Kluyveromyces lactis: one gene and its partner. The protein of the gene in region 1 purifies or fractionates together with the protein of each later gene. This does not show direct contact. Links are inferred from orthologs where the notes say so. Each region holds a gene or a part of one and is shown on either strand. Other genes may lie near its edges.

What was found.
Region 2: the proteins of KLLA0_D05016g (region 1) and CTK1 purify together in Saccharomyces cerevisiae (affinity purification with mass spectrometry; 3 studies listed by BioGRID, with this or other methods). This does not show direct contact. The link is inferred for Kluyveromyces lactis from reciprocal best matches to the Saccharomyces cerevisiae genes HRB1 and CTK1.

Annotation. Positions count from the first base shown.
Region 1 is NC_006040.1:431,042-434,976, forward strand, and holds KLLA0_D05016g (uncharacterized protein), read right to left. Parts: upstream 2,313-3,935; coding exon 2,301-2,312; intron 1,871-2,300; coding exon 551-1,870; downstream 1-550. Other genes in the region: BUD3 (Bud3p), read left to right, coding at 1-440; KLLA0_D05038g (Zn(II)2Cys6 transcription factor), read left to right, coding at 2,612-3,935. UniProt on the Saccharomyces cerevisiae protein: Binds to intron-containing transcripts and is involved in quality control for the export of spliced mRNAs from the nucleus. Binds to pre-mRNAs until splicing is completed or until faulty mRNAs are degraded.
Region 2 is NC_006041.1:1,079,137-1,082,114, forward strand, and holds CTK1 (cyclin-dependent serine/threonine protein kinase CTK1), read left to right. Parts: upstream 1-1,108; coding exon 1,109-2,476; downstream 2,477-2,978. Other genes in the region: succinate dehydrogenase cytochrome b subunit SDH3, read left to right, coding at 315-860; HSK3 (Hsk3p), read right to left, coding at 2,605-2,799. UniProt on the Saccharomyces cerevisiae protein: Catalytic subunit of the CTDK-I complex, which hyperphosphorylates the C-terminal heptapeptide repeat domain (CTD) of the largest RNA polymerase II subunit.

The DNA of each region.
Region 1 (3,935 bases):
CCAATAACACTTCCACTAGAGAGTCTACTATGGATACTGGCGATGTTTTTGAAAATAAAAATGTTCTACCTCGGAAGGTAGCAGAGCCTGTATTCTACAAATTCGACAATTTCACCAAATCCAACGAATCCTTTTTTTCAGCTCACGATAAAGTACACCCAACAGCAGTTGAAAACGACGATGAGCCAATCTGGGTTTCTCCAAGCAAATTGGATATGTTTGACATCAGTAATAAATCAGACACATTTTTCAAGAGTTTACAACCACCAGCTTCAAAAAAAGCTGCTCCTAAGGCTGCTGCTTTCGGTGCTTTGACCGACGAAAACAACGGCAAACATGATGAACCCTCTTTCCTAAGAGATTCTTCCTATGACTACTTAGGTGGCGTTTTAGCAGAAGATGATGAAACAAAACCAACGCGATTGCAGTTCAGCGCTTAGTCCCTATGGAGAAAACGTAGAAGTTTGAATAGGTTATTAATTAGTGATATTACCTCAAGTAATGCCCGCTAGATATCAAAATATAAAACATGATTATTTAGAAGTTAGAATTAGAATCTGGCATAAGTCACCTTTAACTCATGATCTCCATAGGAGTATTTGTCCAATTTGCTGATACATATATCTGCGTCCTCTGGTGTTTCAAATTGACAATATGAGTTCCTTGTGAAATGACCTTCAGGATTCAACAGTAATTTCGTTATTATAACCGGTGCAACACTGCCAAATAGGTCATATAAATCAGATTCAGTGGTAGAAGATGGCATATTTTCGCAGAAGATTACAGAGTTTCTATCACCACCCGTAGTTATAGCCAGAGGATCGATATCTAGTGGTTTTGGTTTAAGAGTTGCTGGTGGTTCATTACGTGGTTGACGAGGGATGTAAGTATCGGCACCAGTGGCTGCAGTACGTGTAGAAGTTCCTTTACCTTCTTTAACATCTAATACACGGCCCTTATACTCTGTACCAGTCCAATGACGAATAGCATCATTTTGTTGTTCTTTGGTAGCCATATAGACCGTACCAAAACCTCTTGACTTACCGTCACGATCAGTGACAACATCAGCATGCAAAACATCACCGCACGGTTTGAACATATCTTTTAATTCTTGCCAATTAACAGAGAATGGTAGCTGTGCCACGAAAACTTCGAAACCTTCATCGTGAGCACGTTTTGGAGGAGGCGGTGGGCCGTTATTATTTCCAGTTCTCGAGATTTCAGCAGGAGGTGGATTATCTTGCCTGACAAAAATGGCACGTCCGTTCAAAAAGGCACCATCACAATCTCTAATGGCCGTATCGACGTCAGTACTGTTATTGAATTCCACAGTACCCATGCCCCTGTGATGACCTCTAGAAGTAATAATATCTGCTCTGCGAACTTCACCGATCTTACCAAAATATTCCTTCAAATCCTCTGGTGTAGTATTATATGTAAGGTTACCGATGAAGATACTGTTGGCATAGTTTCTGTTTACTTTTTCATCATATGGAGAATCGAGCTCTCTCGCTAATTTCGGTCCATAGTCTCCTTTAGCGGCGGCAGCAGCAGCAGTAGCAGCTCCTCCTCGATCATATCTCGAGGATCTACCACGGCCATATCTACCACTGTTATAACCTTGATTCTCGTACCCATTGTCCCTTCCAACAGAACGGTATCCACGATTTACAGATCTTCCACCCGAATATCTGTCTCCGTCCCTATCTCTTGAATAAGTGTCCCTGTTATATCCTTCAGATCTTCTGTTATCTCCGCTGTAGTTTCCTCTTCTATCATCCCTATAGCTACGATCAGGATAACCGCCTCTGCGTGGATCTTCGTTTCCTGATCTTGCTACAGGTGATCTAGATCTCGATCTCTCTCTTGACTATATTAATAAAGGCCAGAAAAAAGTAATTAATGGCAACTCATATAGTAACCAGTTAGTATCACATGTTAACGCTTGAAGCAGAAGCCTAGAAATGAACTAATCTTTAGATTTGCAGCAAAGATGTATTACAGCCAATGACTAGTATGTTTCCTGCGCAGTAGTTTTCCTTAGGTATACTGGAAACTAAAAGCACTTATAATAGCGACACCTGCCACAATCTTAGCCAAAAAACAAGCAGAATTAAACCATCGCATACCCAGTGTCAATAGATGCATAATATCAATAAACCTTACCAGCTTGGATATCTGTTCTTTGATAATTCATTGAGCAACAACTGTCGGTGATAATACTATAGATATGGTATGATCATTGTGTAGCAGTCTAAACAGCCATTTCACACCAATTCCTTTTCAAAAATACAACATACGTATGAACTCATATTTAACTACCAGCCACAACCGTCTAGCAGCAGTCTTGAAATTATTTCACGACGTTTAGCAATGTCATAACGAAGTTCTTTTCAGTGCTGAATGTTTTCACAGATTTAATTCCTTCTGAATTTTTTTCGAGGTTTAGATGTGTTAATGAATAAAAAGAGACGTGCATGATATAAAGAATGCCGCATGTCATGTGACTCAATGCAAGTTAAAGCGTGGCAAGAAGGGAGAGTATAAGACCTGTAAAAGGGCATATTACGTCCAGGTGGTTGGTGTTGGTATAATATAATATATTATTGAGATGGCAGACACTACTCCGGACACTGCAGTCTCTAATGTGACCGAACCTGCCAAGAAGAAGAGGAAGTATTCCAAAAATGGATGCCTTGAATGTAAGAGAAAGAAGGTTAAATGTGATGAGACGAAGCCTATGTGTTGGCAGTGCACGCATTTGTCTCTTGAATGTGTTTATAAGACCAAAGAGTTTCAATTTGTTGTTTCTGGGGGACCCAATAAATCTCGAGTAAACTCTAAAGTGACCTCAGTCTCGGATAAAAAGAGAAAGAATAAGGAAGATGGCGATCTGCATAGGAAAAACATGGAACATCATTCATCATCTGATACTAGAAAACTCTCGAACAATGAACGTGACGTGGATTTTGAGCATGCTGCAACCAATGCGATTGGTAATGACGAAGATGATTTGAATGCGCTATTGAACGATGCGCTTCTCTTTGCTAATGATTTATTCTCCAAGCTGCCCGAAACAGACGCCGTGACCGCAAACCAAGGCCAACAGAAAAGTATCAGTTCTATCAATGATGACATAGGCGGGCCCGTGTTCAACAGATGGGAAGAGATCGAAGGAATGTTAGGAGAGGTATCAAAATCGGAATTATCATATTTGAAGATATTTTATGACAATGTATCATACTGGTTGATGCCGCTAGCACAATCACCGGATTCTAACATTTGTAACCATATCTTATTCCAGCACGTAATAAGAGCAAATAAAAAACACGCCCGAGAAAAGTCTTACTTACAGAGTTCGATGGTGTCAATCAGTGCTAAATATGTCTACAATGTTTACGGGAAAGAGCATGATAATATAATTAGGAAACATTTCTTGAGAAAAGCACTACAGCAATTGTACCAAGAATTCGAATCTCTATCCCAAGAATCATTGGGGTTTTCACAGATAGACTCTTTGAATTTATGTGTGCTATTGTTGACATTGGATAGTTCAACGTTTGGAACTCAAGAATGGAAATTCCATCTACGAGGAGCTAAGGATCTACTTATGAAATACAACGACAACAGAGAAATGGTGACTGGAAGCACTGGGAGCACACTTTTGCATAGGAGGACTGTAACACTAGCACGTAACTGGTTTTGTGCCATTGCTATAGTTGCTTGTGTAGCGAAAGGTAACCATTTTTTCAATGAAGCAGAAATGGAGGAGATGTTAGATATTGGATCCAGTGATTCATCCATGAGCGACAATCTCATGAAGCAGATGGGATTCATATCAGGGAATAATTATAACACATTTCTTGGGTATTCGAAAGAGGGAATATTGCTTATCAAGGAAGTGATGAAATGTCTTAATGCAGATACTGGCCAAG
Region 2 (2,978 bases), on another chromosome or scaffold:
GTGACCAACTTTTAGTTTTTTGATCGACGATATTTCTCAAATTAAAGGCACGTGACTAGCGGTTCCCGACTCGTTCCGAAATCATCCGAAAGGACCGAATGACCGAAACTGGGAAACCGGAAACTTTAGTTTCAACCATTAGAAAAGTATATAAGGGAATTAGTTAAAGAATATACTCATCAAGACAATAAAGTCTGTTTACTTTCTTGCCTGCTTCATAGACAGGTCTTAAAAGTCCGACTGGCAAATATTTCTGGTATTTTGTTAGGAAAGCAGGAGTTAAAAGGCATACATACAGTTGTTATTATCAAACCATGTTCAAAAACGTTTTGAAACCAGGAATTGTTAGTGGTCTAAGACCCCAAGTTATGACCTCAAACACAAGAGGTTTGATGGCTTCTTTTATTCGTCGTCAGTCTAATGTCGTCACCAAGAAGACTACGGCTCAAGAAGAGTACGAGTTGCTAGTTTCTCAGAGAAAAGTTAGACCAGTGTCTCCTCATTTGACCATTTATCAACCACAATTGACATGGTATTTATCGTCCGTGCATCGTGTTTCCGGTGTTTTCTTGGGTCTAGCGTTCTATGCAGTAACTATTGCGTTCGGTGTTTCCACTGTGTTCGGTCTAGGAATGTCCACAGAGAATTTGGTTCAATTTTATAACGAAAAGATCCCATCCTGGATTGATTTGACCGCAAAGGCTGGGTTCGCATACTTGTTTGCATTCCATTTCGGTAACGGTATCAGACATCTGATCTGGGATACCGGTAAAGAGTTGACCTTGAAAGGTGTCTACAGAACAGGTTACGCTGTGCTAGGATTGACTGCTATCATGGGTTCTTACCTATTAACATGGTAAGAAAATTTTCTCTGTTCCCTCACAGACGCTTTACTCACACATTCCTTTCTCAGTATGTACACTTCTCTATATCAATGATCCAGTTATTTATTTATTCTAAACTTTGAACCGCTTCAAGCGGCTGTAGTTTCATATTCTTACTTCCCTTTCTTCTTCTTCTCTTCTCAATATACTAGGTATTCCATCTTTTCAACATTAAAAACTCTTTATACTTAAATACATTGAAAACTTATCAGTTATAGTTTGGAATGATGATGAAATGGACACACCACAGGCCAAACACAGGGGTATCCATGAGTCAGCCCAAGATTTTCAGGAAGAAGAGACAGGAGTCTCGTTACCACGGTGGGTCGCAGTCGCGGTACCAGCCAAATAGGCCTAATAATCATCATAATACAGCTGGAAATGTTAACGTCAATCGTTCTTTGGGGAAAAGAAATCCAAGAGGTAAGTTCAACAGGCCCAGTAATGGACCTGAAACGAGTGGATCGAGGTTCGAAGGTCATGGCAGTATACCTAGGGGCCCCAGGGCTATGGGGTCAAGTGCAGAAAGCGCTGGAGATTCTCATTCAAGAAATATTTTTGGCAAGAAACCTTTGGCATTGATATCGTTTCAAGATGTGAAATCCAGCTTCCAACCGTTGGCACAAGTCGGAGAAGGTACCTATGGGAAAGTTTATAAGGCGGAGAACGTACATACTGGGAAACTTATCGCTTTGAAGAGGCTTAGGTTGGAGCAAGAGCGTGATGGGTTTCCAATAACTTCTATTCGTGAAATTAAACTATTACAACAGTTGAACCATCCAAACATTAGTTTGATCCATGAGATTATCGTATCGGATAAAAATACAATTTCTATGGGATTCCAGTACATGGAGAACGATTTGTCAGGGATGTTAATGGATAAATCGATCCAGTTTTCCGATTCCAACATTAAGCACTTGATGAAGCAATTGTTCGTTGGGTTACAGTATTTGCACCAACAGCAAATAGTACACAGAGACATCAAGGGATCGAATTTATTGATAGATAACAGAGGTAACTTGAAGATAACAGATTTCGGTCTTGCCAAGAAACTAACGGACGTTTCTTCTCCAGCCTCCAATACCAACAGAGTCATTACGCTTTGGTACAGGCCTCCCGAACTACTTCTAGGGGCAACAGACTATAAATACGAGGTGGATTGTTGGGGATGTGGGTGTCTCTTAGTGGAATTGTTTGCAGGGGCTGCCATATTCCCAGGTTCTAACGAAGTAGATCAATTCCAGCGAATATTGAGCATCATGGGAAGTCCGACTTTGGAACAATGGCCCAAGATGTTAGATATGCCGTGGTGGTTCATGCTTGTACCACAAATATCTAAGACTTACAAGAACGTATTCTTCGATGAGTTCAGCAAAGTACCGCAGGATGCCCTAGATTTGGCATCCAAATTGTTACGATACGATCAGGATACAAGATTCACGACAACTGAAGCATTACAGCATCATTACTTCACAAATGAACCCAAACCACAACCTCTACTCTTGGGACCCGAGTTCAAAGGTTCGCACGAGTACGAAGTGAAAAAGATCAGAAGGAAGGAGCGCGAACGCCAGAAGGAGACCACCGTTTAGAGAAGAAGCGGGGGTTTTCCTTTGATCTCATTTTCTCATTTTCTCATGATCCATAGATATTAGGTATACGTTCATATATACATATAGTGTTACAAACCGATATTTATCGTAGGCATGTATCTCATACCTCATTTCTTTAACATTTCATCTTCGAATACACGGTTACTGCCGATGAAAGTGCTGGCTTGGACGGCTCCCAGTTTCGTTATCATATTGCTTTGGTTTGCCATGATTTCCACTTGAGCCGTTGTCTCATCGAGATTCTCACGAAGTTGTTTCAAATGTGCTGCTAGTCTCGCATATTGGCGCTGTTTGTTGTCCATGGTAAATATCAGTAACGTGGATGACCTTCCGAGTAAAGATCTTGAGCAATATCCTTTGGTACTTCTGTTTTAAAGGTTCTCTGCTATTAGTGGATGCAATTTTAAAGATTCAATGTTTTGATTTAAGTGAACACAATTGACAATCTCATCGAATTGAATCATAAATAGATGTGATATAT